2 linked regions of the Tamandua tetradactyla genome follow. The protein of the gene in region 2 binds, or shares a complex with, the protein of the main gene of each other region. Links are inferred from orthologs where the notes say so. Each region holds a gene or a part of one and is shown on either strand. Other genes may lie near its edges.

Region 1 (7,940 bases), on a different chromosome or scaffold from region 2:
GCCATGCAATGGGAAAGGCAAGGACCCAAGGATCGTCGTCAGTAGCCAGCTCCAGAACACCATAGTCCTTAGCAAGAAAGCATCACCTTCGGGTGGGCCACGGTGGCTCAGCAGGTAAGAATGCTTGCCTGCTAAGCCCGAGGACCTGGGTTTGATTCCCAGTGCCTGCCCATGTAAAAATAAATAAATAAGTAAATGGTTAAAAAGAAAACATTAATAGGAAGCCAGAGTATAGGTTCAAAGAAAGCATCACCTTCTTGATAACTAGATTCTGGACTTCTCCTAGCCTTAAAACCCTGAGGCAATAAATTCCCATTATTTAAATCAAACCATTATACGATATTTGTTTTTAGCAGCTAGGAAACTAAGACTGGGAAAAGAGAACAAACATCCATCCAAGTGTCCATAGCCAAAACCTAAAATTCTTAGATTCTTCCCTCTCCCACTCCTCTAACCAATCCCTAAACTCATAAATACTACCACCTATATCTCTTTTAAACCCACCCCCACACACATCCCCTCCCAGCATCCCTACTGTCAATATCTTGGTGCATCTTCATCACTGCTCGCTTGAACTAACTGGTCTTTCTGCCTTCCATCACTTCAATTCATACTGTACACATCCACCAAAGCTACCTTCCTAAACTACGGATTTGCTTATGTCACTCTTTCTATATCAAGAACAGGAGCAAAGCCCAACTCTGCAAGTGAAATCACTGCCCTCCCCCCTACATGGGACATGACATCCAGGGGTGAAAGTCTCCCTGGTGACATGGGAGAGGACTCCCAGGGATGAATCCAGACCTGGCACTGTGGGATCAACAATTCCATCCTGACCAAATGGGGGAAATGAAGTGTAATTAATAAAGTATCAGTGGCAGAGAGAGTTCAAATACAGCCTCTCTCAAATAGTCGAGAGGCTACTCTGGGAGGTTGCTCTTACACAAGCTTCCGGTAGACCTTATTATCTATCATAACCTGCCAATCCTAAAGAACACCTAGGGCAATATATAAGATTCCTCAAGGGTTCCAGGCACTAGAGAAACCTGACAGAAACCTATAACCTCCAGATGGGTCCCTAGTCCAGGTAAGTCCTGAAACCTAGCCCAGCCTCTCCAGAACATCAGATAGTTTCATCTTCCTACCCCATATTCGTGGCAGACCCTATCAATATCAAAAATTTAGAATTGCCATAACCCAAACAACCACAATGAGAGGTATGGAAAGATCAAAGGTGATGGTGGAATTATACATAGAAGATAGGACTTAAATGAATATGAATGTTGAATCATCAAATTGATATCTCTTTTATCTCCAGTATTTTAGAGCAACTAGAAGTAAAAACCTAAAATTGTGAAATTGTAACCCATGTCAAAGTCTGAAATATATTCTACAGCTAATTGGGGTGCTGTGCTTTGAAATTTATAGCTTTTTTGCATATATGTTATTGGTCACAAAAAAAGAAGGAAAAAAAGTCAATTGTGATGACAAAAAAAAAAGTATTTAAACCCTCTAGCCTCCTATATTCCGCAGCAGCTAGAAGGAAAAATATGAGAGGACCGTATGGTAGCCCATGACAAACTCTGGGATCTATCCTGTAATCACGTTTTAAAGAGTGCTTTGAAAACTATTGCTCTTTTATTTCTTTGCTTTGTATATGTTATACAATACAACAAAAAAACATTTAAAACATAAATAAATAAATAAATAAATGGGGGGGAGAGAACAGGAGCAAGAACAAGTCCCAAAGTAATGTAAACTAAAAACAAGTTCCTTTTAATAACATGATAAAATGCAGATAATATGTGTGACCAAATTAAAGATTCTAATGCATGTGTTTTCAGTAGAAAAAGGCTACAAGGAAGCAAGAAAAATACTACTGCCTTCTTAAAGTTGAAAATAAAAACATAATAGATCACAGGACTGATAAAGGCACCTTGAGGAAATCAAAAGAACACCCAGACCTTCAAGTCAAGACTGCATTCTAGCTCACTGTACTGAAGCATCTTAAAAAAGAATGCCTTAATCTAAAAGGGATTTGGAAAACAAAAGCAAGCAGAGAAGCTGAAGGAAGAGGTCTTGCCATAGGGAAAAACCACCCATTTGGATCTCAGTCTCAGTCCATCACATATCTCACTTTTCTGGTTGAGTCCATGCTAACCAAGCCACCTGTTTATAATCTGACCCGATGGGTAAAGTCTACCTACACGAAGAAAGTGTCCATTCATTTGGCTTTACTATTCAGGCCCCTCTGACTCCTATTTCTTATTTTAAAAATAATACTAATAAACTGGCATTTAAATTAGGACCTAGTAAGCAAATATGCCTATCAGCTAACAATATACTAATCATACCAACAGGGCATAAATCACTGCAAATTAACAAACTGGCACTATGGTTTTACATATAAGCCTTGTAAGCATAGTTACTGTGAGTCCAACCCTGGGAGATAAGGAGCTGCTTTTACCATAGTGACCAAATCAGATTTCAAAAGGGGCTAAACCAAGGCCAGACCTTGGATAATGGTACATTCTAAAACTGCACTCTATAATATGTTAGCCACTAATCACATGTGACTATTTAAATTAAGTAAAATTAAAAATTCAACTCCTCAGTCCTGGAGCCACATTTCAAAGTAGGTAACTATGGCTAGTGGCTACCAAATTGAACAGAGCAAATTCTGCACATTTCTATCATCACAGAAAGCTCTATTGGACAGCACTGTTTTGGAAGATAACCTTAAACAAGTCCTGTGAGTCCTCTTGGGAAACAATCTGATAGATAGCCCTGGATGGCTCCCTGAGAAGTAGACTATTTGTTTTCTAAATAAAGTAAGAAATAAATATTCAACAATTATTCCCTTTCCCTTGATTTCTTGAAATCCAAATATATAGTAAGTCTTCAGAATTTCTGCCCCTCTATTACTGGATGATACTCTAAACTAGAGGCAGTATAGCACAGAGGGTAGAAGTACATTCTGTGAATCCAGATTGCCTGGTTCATATTTCGTCATTGTCCGTTACTAGATATGTGACCGTGAAGCATATTATTTCACTAATCTATCTTTCAGTTTCCTCATCTATAAAGTGGGAAAAAAACAGTACCTATCACACCATGTTACTATAAGGATAAAATCAGTTTATACCTATAAAATGCCTAGAATAGTATTCGGTAGATTAAGTGCCCAATAAGTATTAGGTGTTTAATCGTTTACTACTACTACTACTACTACTACTACTATTGCCACTACCACCACTTTGACAGTACTCCAGATGAAAAATGCTCAACTAGGAGAAATATTAGCAAATATTAAGGAATTAAGTTAAAGCAAGGATACAAAGTCAGAATGTTAGTCTATGATATAAAATTTAAGAAGTAAAAAATAATTAAGATTAAAGGAAGGGGGTGAAATGGAAAGATTATTAAATAGCAAGGAAAAGTCATGTTTTCAAGGAAGAGTTGCCAGGAAGTCTTACCAGTAAGGCTAGCAAACCACAAGTCAAAAGAAGTCTACAAAATGAGCTACTATGCTATTAAAATAACCAATAAATACAAAGGAGGAACTGAAAGACACAAGTTCAAGTTCACTACACCAAATTATACTTCCCATGTACTGACACCCAAACGCATTACCTCCCCTGTGCTCCCAAAGTTACCTCCATGTTCACTTGATGAACTGACTGAAGATCTTCTGATTTTTCATTTTAAGCAGAGCACCAGACATTATACCATGTCAACCCCATGCCAAACAATGGCCTAGCATGTGTTCTTCAAGTGGAAACTATTTTAGGTAACTGCATATTGCTCTTGCAGATTGGCAATTTGAAAATCCAGAAGATCAAATACAAACTTCAGCATAGGTAGTAAAATGGAAAGTATGGAGCATTAGGAAAACACAGACCCAAGCTTAAAACTTTACTCAAATGTACGGCCCTGGGCAACTTAACGCTTATGAGATTCATTTCACTCATCTCTAAAATGCAGGTAAAGCATTTTGCCAATTAAATATGAAATACATGTAAAGGGCCTACAACAGTGTCTAGCACATAGCAGATGTTCAATAAATGGGTGCGACATACCATCAGTAAATCTTTCTGAAAAGACCCTCTAAGAGTCCTAAGAATAAAAGCCTACTACTCTATATGCTAGTAGTCTTGATCAGATAGCAACTATAAATTTTGGCCAGATATCAACTATAAATAATGTGCGATAGTGCCTCAAAATTACAAGATGTTTTCCATATTTTATAAGATATTTCCCAAATAAAATATCCATTTTACTGTATCCCCTATTAGACTATGTCTATAAACCATTTGAGCCTACTATAAAAAATAACTTTACTCCTACACTGAAACAAAGTGTGTACCAGCAAATCTGCCACGTACACCTTCACAACTCCACACCCAAACATGAACACTAGGCACAAATATCTAAGATTTTTTCCTTTCCCTATTAACGGAAAAGAAAAGAACTTTTAAGTTTCTTCTCAGTGAGCTAAGTTCCACAAGCATTACGGTACAGGGTAAATGCTTACCTGGAAAATATTTTGTACTTCAGATCCACCAATCCAGAATGAATGGGTGTATTCCCTTTCAGACTAGTCTGAGAAAAGACAGCAGTCAAGCATCTTCCAAGATTCTTTCCGTTTACTGTATCCAGCTTTCTTCAACAAAATCCCAAACATGCACTTCGGCAACTGTTGAAAGACAGAAAGCAATCCATACACCCACCATGGCACCAGCGGCAAAGGACAGCCACCAAGAAATGGAAGGGTCTGAGGAATGGTGGATCTGAGGCACAGAAAAGAAGTTACAATCCCTGAGTCAACCACTTGGCATAAAAGTTCTGTGTTCATATTCCTCACCTCTATGTTGAGAGGACAGGAAAACCTGCACAGCAAAGAATGAAACATCCCTAATATTAACATTTACTCATAATAAATAACATGCAATTTCCAAATGAGAGAAGCTAAAAACTTACCCTACCATCCATATAAACTGTCCCAGACCATTTACCTACAATGAACTTCCTTTTCCATTTCCTAAGAAAACTCCTCCACTATTTCAAAAATAGTTTGTCAGCCAAAATTAATATGGGAGTACTCAAAAGTCTACCAAAAGAGATATTTATGCTATTTAAATAAACACCTAACAAGAAATACTTAATGAAATCTTTTAGTTTGCTACATACAAAACTTCACTTCTACATACTATCCAAATCCTCTCCCCTGAGATGAAATATAGGACATCTTGAAACACCTGATATAATACTCGAGAGAACTTCAGATTCAATAAAGGCCAATCCCCTACAATAGCCAGTCACTAGGTAAACCAGGGAAAATAATAAAAAACACTAATTTTACTAGGAGACACCTTTAAATACATAAACACAGTCCACAATAAATCCACATTTTCTGCCATGCCAAATTTTATAATTCGTAAAATTCTAAACAGTAAGGAAAAGGAAAAAAAGCATTCAACAGACATATAAATTGGAAAATTTTATATAAAAAGACTGTGAACTTATTTACACATTAATTTGCTACTTCCTCTATTACACACTACGGCCAAAATGCCCGGCAATAATTATAATAATGTCTACCTTTACTGAAGACTACTAAAATACTAATTAACCAGGCCCTTTACATCCACTACTCCTATTAATTCTCAAAAGAAAATAGAAGGCAAAAAATAGCTTGCTCAAAGTCCCACATCTACGAGGTGGTAGAGGAGCCCAAAAAGCCCTTTTCACAGATCACTACTACCTCCAAACTCAAGAATCAAGTCAGAAAAGGCACGCATGATTCCTGGGTCAGAAAAAAAAAAACCAAGCTTTTCTCTGAAAGGTCCCAGGTTAATCAACATTGGAATGGAGAACTACAAAAATACCTACTGAAGTACCTATTTCAACCTGGCTGAACTACAACACAACTGAAAAGTTCAGCCATTCTTAAAGAGCTAACTTTGTACATCTGGCTTAAAGTACTTCACTAACAAAGAGCCATGCAATTCTAAGGTCTACAATACTAACGTTACAATGAAACACACTGCAATGATACTTAAGTACTCTTTGTATTTAACAACAAAGATTGTGTCCATGACAATCTAAAATACAACTGAAACCAACTGGGTAATTTTTAAATTCCAAAATTTGGTAATACATAGGCAATGACTAAAGATGCTCTCTGGTTTTTCATGTTGTAGGTAAAGCAACTGAAGTGACTAAAATACCAGCCTATGATGATTGACCTTACCACAACAACTAGATGGTAATATTTAAACACCCGCAACTTCAGCAATCATGTAAGTAAAATCTCAAGCAAATAATGAGTGCTCAAGATTTTCCCATTAAGTGCTATTACTCTGGCGCCTAAGAGTAAACCCAATTTTGCCAAAAGTAGCAAGTGAGCTGTGTCTACTACTTAACTGCTAAAGCAATATTCTACTTTTCAATGGCTAACTTTCTCTTACAGCCAAAATGCAAAACAAGTTATAATAAAATGCAACAACTTAACTAATGGACCCACATCTGGACCTCTTAAATCCTTAGGCCCTTTTCCTGTACTAGTGGCTCTAATTTTCAACCTTCACTTCAAATAAACACTTATGGAATAGCTAATATGTGGTAGGCCTTAAGCTAGAGACACACAAAAATTAATAGATATCCGACTAGGAGTGTCATTTCACAGAACAAAAGATATTTTATTACTGGTTCCCAAGACAGTTAAATGATCTCAATTTAACCCTAAATAAATAAATACTCAAGTTCCTTTTTCTTAAGAGTACAGCCCTCACTTGATTTTTCTTTTTCAACTGCATCGGAGGCTATTAGAAAATGGTTCTCTACATTCATTACACTTACATTTGCACATCTCACAATAAAACTTTTCTTTCAATTTTTCATGTTAGTGTCCACTGTTACTACTTCACAGTTTTCCATTCTGTTAAGGTTTTCATTGTTGACTAACCCTGAAAGGGAATTTCCTAAAAAACTTCCTGCTGACATCACAGAACTCTGCAATCTTTGAGTTTTGTTAAAGAACAATAATACACTATAGGCTAGAGATATCCTACTGGATTACCAGGTCTTCCTGGTCTGCCTCATTTGCCTACAAAGACAAACTTCCTGTTAGGCAATTGTGATCAGCAGAAACTTGATAGAAGGTAACATGCACACACTTGACCAACAGGTTTTGTCCCCCTTTGTCAACTAATTCAGTGAACACAACAATAAAACTCAGGAGGAAATCTCATATCAATATTCACTGCTTATTCTGTTAAGGTTTGAATTCATCAGCTTTGCTAAAACAAGAATAAGAATTCAAAAACCATCATTTCTCAGGTTAAACTAAATCACTCAAATATAACTTACAAGACTCAATGCAAATATCAACTAATGGCCAGTCTTTCCTCCAGGATACTTAAAAGAGGGCTTAGCACAAGTCTAATTATGTTAAATTGGTAATTCTTAGTAATTTTAACAGTACCTCCCAGATTTTCCAATACAATGCTGATTCTGTAGGATTTCATCATTTCCTCAAAAAAATTGCTAAAAGCTACTGAATGTAGGGCTCTGTAAAGCTTCACAAATAAATATTATCTACAATGCAGGGGAAAAACATTAAACCTTTTCTACACCATCTGTTTTATTTTTGCTTCACAAAATATGGTCACTATACTTGGGAAAATCAGAATGGCAAGCACTTGCTGAGAGACAAGCTTCTGCAAGGACCTTTCCCATATGTCTTTTATAATCGTCCCAATAACTCAGAGCAATTCCTATGTTTTCTTATTTTAACCGAAAATGAAACCACACCTCAGGAAAGGTTCATTTTCCTAAGGTCACACAGCTAGCCAGTGACAGAGATGGAATACAAATAAAGTCCAGGCCCTCTCTAAGTCGCACTTTTCTAAGGTAACAGAATCCTTAGACCCCATCAA
Region 2 (7,333 bases):
GGCAGTTTTTAATCTTAGGGAAAAAAGAAATCCTAAGAAATGGATAGAATGTAATAGAACCACAACCACATTGAGAGGAAGCAGAGCAGATGGTGGAGTCAAAAAGCTTAATCGGCATCTGTCCATCAATGGCTAATATCTAAAAATGATGAATTAAAAAAGGAAGAGGTGGAGAGAGAGAAGGAGAGAATCATATCCTCACTGTAGCAACTACACCTGCCACACTCAGGTGAGATTCATCATCATTTTCACCATCACTTTCCCTAAAAGCAGCTCTCGTACCACCGAGCAAATCTACAAGCAGGAATGGAAAGGTTAAAACTTTTTCCAAGCACCTTGGCATCCCAGAAAAAAGTTCATGGAATACGTTTAGAAATGCAAAAATATCCAGCACCCAAGGTAAAATACATGATGTTTGGCATCCAATCCAAAATTACTAGGCATGCAAAGAAGCAGGAAACGCCAAGCCTCAATGAGGAAAGACATCAATCAACAAAAGACATCTGGATTGGAAAGGGAGTAAAAATGCCTTTATTGAAGGAAAATGTGATTGCTTATGTAGAAAATCCTATGAAATCTACAAAAGAGCCACTAAAATTATTAAGTGTATTTAGCAAGGTTGTAGAATGCAGGTATTTTAGAGGGATCTGAGCTCCTTCCCCCAACCCTTAAGGAATTGTCCTAACACTTTTCTTCACTGATCTGAAGCAAGGCCAGTAAGCCACAAAAAAATCCTAATTTAGTGTTTCTGGGCTGTTTGCTCTTCTCATACGAACTAAGTATTTTATTTTGGCATTAAGCAGACTTCTGGTGACAAAGGATGTGGAGAAACCAGAAGGGCACAATTTCTTGACAACAATTTTGTACCATAAATAGAAAATATTTAACTCAGTAATTCTACCTCCTGGGTTTTTTTTTTTTTTAATCTATCGTAAGGAAATAACTATTCATGCAAAAACTCATATATAAGCATCCTACTGAATCGTTACATATCATAGGGAAAATTGGAAATGATTTAAGTGGGCAACAATTTCATTAAAATACTTCTTTGATACACAGAACAGGTTTTCGCAGGATTTTTAGGAAGCAGAAAAGTTCACGTTAAATGAAAAAAAAAAAATCAGGAAAATAAATTTAACACTAGACTTGGCCAAAAATTATACTTGAATATCTGCATCGCAGACCCTTCCCTCGTTGCAATCCCAGACCAAAGGCATGAAAATCTGCAGGTTCAGCAGCTGAAAAAAAATACTGTTGTGACAGGAAAGAGTAGCTTGTTTTTATTTTCTGTTGGTGAAAACATTTAAGCACCAAATAAACCAAGTGGGACCCCAGCATCCTAGGGCCAGTATGCCCCCCAAATCAGGCCCTTATGGTAAAGTGGCAACTACTCTAGGAATCAAGGCCCCGGGGGGAAGGGCATACTGCCCAGGAGGGGACACCAGGTCAGGCCCCAGGCCTAGCGTGAAACGGGGGGCCCGAAGCGCTGCATTGTCCGCACCACCAGGGAAAGCTGGTCCAGAAAGTTCAGGATGGAAATTCGGAGGAGGCGGGGGTCACCGGCAGTCCACTGGCTGTGAGGGATGGAAAAGGCAAGTCCAGTTCAAGGTGGCAACTTCACCTTCCACCCGGCACCCTCAGACCCCCTGCCACCTGACCATTTAGTGGCTCCATCAGAGCACCCCCTCAGGTGGGGACAGGCCCACTGCGCCACGCCCCCTTCCTCAGACTTCCCCTGAGGGGATCTCTCTGACCCCATTACAGCACCCCAAGGCAGGGACTGGCCCTAAGGAGCAGCTCCCACCCGCGCCCCTTCTAGAACTGACACGGCCAGGGCGCTGCCAGCCACAGTGAGCTGCTTCTCAATCGCCTCCCGGTGGGGTTCGGCATCCGGGGCCAGGGAGCCGCAGGCGATCTCCGCCTCCCTGCGGGACGGGAAAGGGACACTGAGGGAGCTGGCAGGGGATCCGGTTAAGGCACCATCCTCCACTGACTTAGCCTGCGCCTCGCCTCCTGCCGCTCAAGGCCAGAACTGGCGCCCGGCCCGGTCACCCCATTAGTTCACCCCGATTGAGCCTGCTTCTCCCGCCCCCACCCGCCTCAGGCCTTCCCCTCCTCCCCTGGGGCCCCAACTCCCCCGGCGTCCACCGACCCAAGCGGCTCCCCTTTTCGATCCCTCCCCCCCGTTTCGCCGTCCTCCCCCCCTACCCCAGGCTCCCCTTTCCGTCGCCTCCCGCGTTAAACCCCTGCTCTCCTTCCCTTCTCCCCGCCTCCCGCCCCCCTGTCCTTCCCCCCGTCACCCACCCCCCAGGACCCCGTGCCGTCCCTGCCGCTCACGCCCCATCCCCATCCCAGGCCCGCCCCGTCGGCTAGGATACAATCGGTGTACTGGGCTTCCCGGCCCGGTGACCGCGGGCGTGGCGTCTCCACCCGGCCCTGGGGCGTGCGGTGTCCGCGCGACCCGAGACGCGTCACCGACCGGGCGGCCCCCCGAGGAGCCCGCGCCCTCGCGGCCCCCGGGGCCACTTGCGCCTGCGTCTTCCGCCTGCATGGTCGCCCGCCGCCGCCGCCGCCTCCCCCTCCCTCTCCCCCTCCCCCTGCGCCTCATGCTGCGGCTCCAGCGCCAGGCCCCGCCCCCTGCCCCGTGACATCATCTCTGGGCGCCTGCGCAGACAGGCTCCTGCCCGGCGCCGGGCCGGGGTCGGGCCGCGCTCTCAGCCCGGGTGCGGCTGCCCTGCGGGGCTTTGCGTGGCGCGGATGGCGCGATGTGTGGGGGGCTGTCCGGTGGGTCCCCCCCAGAGGTTGACGTCGTGCATCCCGTCCCCGTCGCCGAAGTATGTGGGGACACCACAGGGGGCCTTAAAGGGGGCCAGCGAACCGACGAGATGGGTGGTCGAGAGGGCCGCGGGGACGTGAGGCCTGCCCAGGGGCCTGAGCTGAAGTGGTGGTCGCGGGCATCTGGCTGATACCCCGAAGTCAAAAGCGGAAGGCAGAGCAAGCATCAATATAATCCCAGTGTAGCAAATGACCATATATCCGCGTAGAAACCTGGAAAACTACAGCAAAGTGTGAACAGCCATTTTCGCAGCCTGATGGGATTTATGGGTGATTTTAGTTTGCTTTTCGTGATTTTTGGCCTCCCAATTTTTTTTACAGTTAGCTTCTATGACAGAGTGACAGAATACTTAGACTGACAAGAACTTTCCAATGGTGATTGTAAGTGGTAGTTTTCTGTTTTCCTCCTTGCGATCAAAACGAAGGACCTGCAGCCAAGCTGTATTGGCATATCCCGTTGGATCTCTCTAAAAAATAGATCTGCAATCAGCCCACTCGTCTCCTCCCCACTGAGAGATGCCAGTGCCAGTCGCCATCTCTTCCCTTGTTGGTCCTACCTCCTATTCTCCGCACAGTAGAATGAGGTTTTACTTTTTAATGTGAATCACATCCTGTCATATCCCTGCTTAAAACCCTAAAACGATTTCCCATTGCCCTAGGAATCAAATCCAAACCCTTTGATGGGGCTTATAAAAGTCCAAGGTGATGTGACTCCCAGCTCCTTCTCCAGCCTCTTTCCCTACTTGCCTACTCCTAAAGTCTCCGCAGCCTCCTGGGCCCTTGCTCTGACCCTGACGGAGGTTGACCTGTTCCTGCCCGTGCCGGATTGAAAATATTATGTACCCCAGAAAAGCCATATTTTATTCCTGATTCAGTCTTGTGGGAGCAGCAGTTTCTTTTAATCCTGATTCAAAACTGTAGTTGGTAATATTGGATTAGATTATCTCCACAGAGATGGGACACATCCAGTTCTGGGGATGACTTTTGAATAGAGGGAAATGTGACTCCATCTGTTCCAGTTCTGTCTAGATTAGTTTACTGGAATCCTTTAAAAGAGGAAACATTTTGGAGAGAGAGAGAGCAAGAAAGATGGAAGCCTCAGAGCCAACAGAAATTTGCCAGCAGAGGTGACACAGATGCAGAAACGTGGTGGGCAGACATATAGATGTTAGGAGATGCTTGGAGTCCAGCAGACATCACCATGAGATGTGAAGCAAGCCAGAACCTGGAGAGAGCCAAGGGAAGCCAAGAGATGAAAGCCAGCCCCAGAGAAGCAAAGTGAGGAAACCCCACAGGAACAGAGGCTGAAAGCAACAGGAGCTCAGGAGCAAGGGACCAGCAGATGCCAGCCATGTGACTTCCCAGCTGACAGAGCTGTTCCTGACTCATTGGCCTTTCTTGAGTGAGGGTAACCTCTTGTTGTTGCCTGAATTTGGATACTTTCACTTTCTTAAACTTGCAACGCATTAAATTCCCCTTTTTAAAAGTCATTCCAGTTCTGGCATATTGCATTCTGGCAGCTTGCAAATGAACACACTGCCCCTTGCCCTTACACTTCTGTTTGGAAAATTGTCTCCAAACTGTCCCATGGCTGGCTCCTTGTCCTTAGGATATCAGCTTCAGTGTCACCTCTGAGCAGCCTTCGTGCTCACTAATCTAATACAATCCCCCCAGGCACTCTTTTTTAAAAATGTAATTTAATTTTTATTTAAAAAATATTTTTATTGAGAAATATCCACACGTACAGTCCAATTATATTATACAATCAGTGGCTCACAATATCATCACATAGTTGTGTATTCTTCACCATGATCATTTTTAGAACATTTACGCCACTCCAGAAAAAGAAATAAAGAAGGAAAAAAAAAAAGAATTCATACATTCCATACCTCTTACCCCTCCCTCTCACTGATCTCCAGTATTTCAATCCACCCATTTTTTACCCTCTATCCCCCCCTATTATTTATTATCCTTTTTTTAACTCATCTGTCCATACCCTAGATAAAAGGAGCATCAAATACAAGTTTTTCACAATCACATGGTCACATGGTAAAGGCTATATGGTTATACAATCGTCTTCAGGAATCAAGGCTACTTGCAGTACCCCACGCAAGAACTGTTTAAAAAGTTGAAAAAGTGACCAGACTTTGAGCTGATCTTGTTAGGACTAAGGTAACTCAGAATACAGGGTAAAGGATGATATCAGCCATATGTTAAAACTTCAACTTCTGTGTGAGACTAAAGGGAGAGATGTTTATTTAGTGCAAAATTTATATTTTGGGAAGTGCTTCAGATGCTGAGAGATTTCAAACAGAGCCAAGAGGTTATCCTGGCGGCTATTCTTATGCATTATATAGATAACCCTTTCTTAGTTTGTGGTGTATTGGAGTGGCTGGAGGGAAGTACTTGAAACTTGAGCTGTATTCCAGTAGCCTTGATTCTTGAAGATGACTGTATAAAGATATAACTTTTACAATGGGACTCTGTGATTGCAAAAACCTTGTGTGTGATGCTCCTTTTATCCAGGGTATGGGCAGATGAGTAAAAAAAAATATGGATAAAAATAAATAATAGAGGGTACAAAGGGTACAATAAATTGGGTAGTTGGAGATACTAGTGGTCAATGAGAAGGAGGGGTAAGGGGTATGGTATGATGACTTTATTTTTCTTTTTCTAGAGTGATGCAAATGTTCTAAAAAATGATTATGGTGATGAGTACAAAACTATGTGATGATATTGTGAGCCATTGATTGTACACCATATATGGAATGTATGCGTGTGAAAATTTCTCAATAAAAATATTTCAAAAAAGATGCCATTTCACACCAAGCAGATTGGCAAAAATTTAAGAGTATGATAATATCAAGTGTTAGTGAGTAAATCGACAATAATTCTCATACATTGCTTGTGGTAGTGTCAATTGGAATAATCAACTGGAGGCCAATTGGGCTACATAGGGGAAAAGTTGCAAATTCTCTCACCTTATAAGTCAGCAATTCAGCTTCTGTAAATATGTCATAGTGAAATCCTCATATAGGGTTATGAAGAGAACTCTATAATGGGTCAGCAATTTTTTTCTGTAAAGTCTAGATAGTAAATAATTTAGGCTTCGTGGGCTGTGTATTCTCTATCACAACTATTCAACTCTGCTGTATACCATTACATCAATATGTAAATAAATTGGAAAAAAAAATCAAGACTACCGGAACACAATTCAACACTTTCAGGTACTTCCCTCTAGCTACTCCAATGCACCATAAACTAAAAAGGGATGTCTATATAACTCATAAGAATAACCTCCAGGATAACCTCTCAACTCTGTTTGAAATTGCTTAGCCGTGGAAACTTTGTCTCAGTTCTCTCTTCCCTGTTTTGGTCAACAAGGCTTTCTCAGTCCCATGAAGCCAGGTCCCAGCTCATCCTGGGAGCTCTGTCCCACTTTGCCAGGGAGATTTACACCCCTGGGAGTCACGTAGAGGGCAGGATAGTGGGTTCATCTGCCAAGTTGACTTAGAGAGAGAGAGGCCACATCAGAGCAACAATAGAGGCTCTCTTGGGATGATTTTTCAGCATAATTCTCAGTAGGCTTAGCTTGTCCTTTGCAGGAATATGCTTCATAGGGCCAAGCCCCAAGATTGAGGGCTCAGCCTGTTGAATTGGTTGTCCCCACTGCTTGTGAGAATATCAGGAATTCCCCAGATGGGAAAGTATAATATTTTCTCCTTTCTCCCCAGTCCCCCAAGAGGAGTTTGCAAAATTTTCTTTTTATTCTCTGCCAGAATTACTTTAGGATATATTGACCCCCAGGGACTCTTGTTTTTTTGTTTTAATGTTTGGGTAAAAATATATTCCCCCCTCTTGATGTCTTGGCACTGTTGATATATGCATAGATTACCTGTCCATTACTCTCCTATCTTAACAGACACCAAATTGCCAAGCATGGTTGCTGAGTGATTACTTTCATACTTGAAAAAGTGATATGCCTCACATCAATACAATTATTTTAGTTTTCTTAAAAAAAACAAGTGGTCTAACATGCAGCTTACATATATGATAATTCTGCATTAACATTGAAAGTAGATTACACAAGTTTTAGAAAACATATCGGCTATTTTCAAACAGCAAAATGACAATGATCTATAGCTAGTTTAAGGCATATCAGCATATTTTAAAATTTAAAAATAGACAAAGTTCTAATGCTGTTTGTAGCTTAATTTTTGTTGTATTTTAAAAATTCCCTTCATACCTACATACAATCTAGACCTTATTATCAAAATTTCCATTAAAGAGTCATCACATATATGTCCTGTAAATGGAACTAGGACTTTTGGAAGCTGAGACTTGACAATTTCGGACGTTTGCAAAGGCAAACAAAGGGGTCTGAATGGACAGTTTTGGTAGGACCACACAGAGACAATATGATACGGGTTGGTAGACAGCTGAAAAATCTGACACAGCAGTTTGTATGTGAAAAACTTATGGATATGTCAAGAAAGTG

The links. The genes of interacting proteins can lie anywhere in the genome.
Region 1: the proteins of LAGE3 (region 2) and GON7 are in contact, whole or in part, in a crystal structure (PDB 6GWJ), measured with the Homo sapiens proteins. The link is inferred for Tamandua tetradactyla from reciprocal best matches to the Homo sapiens genes LAGE3 and GON7. Residues at the interface, in NP_006005.2 of Homo sapiens: Pro60, His61, Ile62, Phe63, Thr64, Leu65, Ser66, Val67, Pro68, Phe69, Pro70, Glu74, Arg102, Ile103, Glu111, Cys113, Leu116, Arg117, Val120, Ile121, Leu124, Asp125, Leu127, Ser128, Val131, Arg132, Met134, Gln135; in NP_115879.2 of Homo sapiens: Met1, Glu2, Leu3, Leu4, Gly5, Glu6, Tyr7, Val8, Gly9, Gln10, Leu17, Asp28, Pro29, Phe30, Gln31, Leu33, Leu34, Val37, Met40, Lys41, Val44, Thr45, Leu47, Phe48, Asp49.

Annotation. Positions count from the first base shown.
Region 1 is NC_135346.1:53,342,493-53,350,432, forward strand, and holds the start of GON7 (EKC/KEOPS complex subunit GON7), read right to left. Parts: upstream 3,014-7,940; coding exon 2,995-3,013; intron 1-2,994. UniProt on the Homo sapiens protein: Component of the EKC/KEOPS complex that is required for the formation of a threonylcarbamoyl group on adenosine at position 37 (t(6)A37) in tRNAs that read codons beginning with adenine.
Region 2 is NC_135353.1:6,783,740-6,791,072, forward strand, and holds LAGE3 (EKC/KEOPS complex subunit LAGE3), read right to left. Parts: upstream 2,552-7,333; coding exon 2,379-2,551; intron 1,956-2,378; coding exon 1,827-1,955; intron 1,575-1,826; coding exon 1,460-1,574; 3' UTR 509-1,459; downstream 1-508. UniProt on the Homo sapiens protein: Component of the EKC/KEOPS complex that is required for the formation of a threonylcarbamoyl group on adenosine at position 37 (t(6)A37) in tRNAs that read codons beginning with adenine.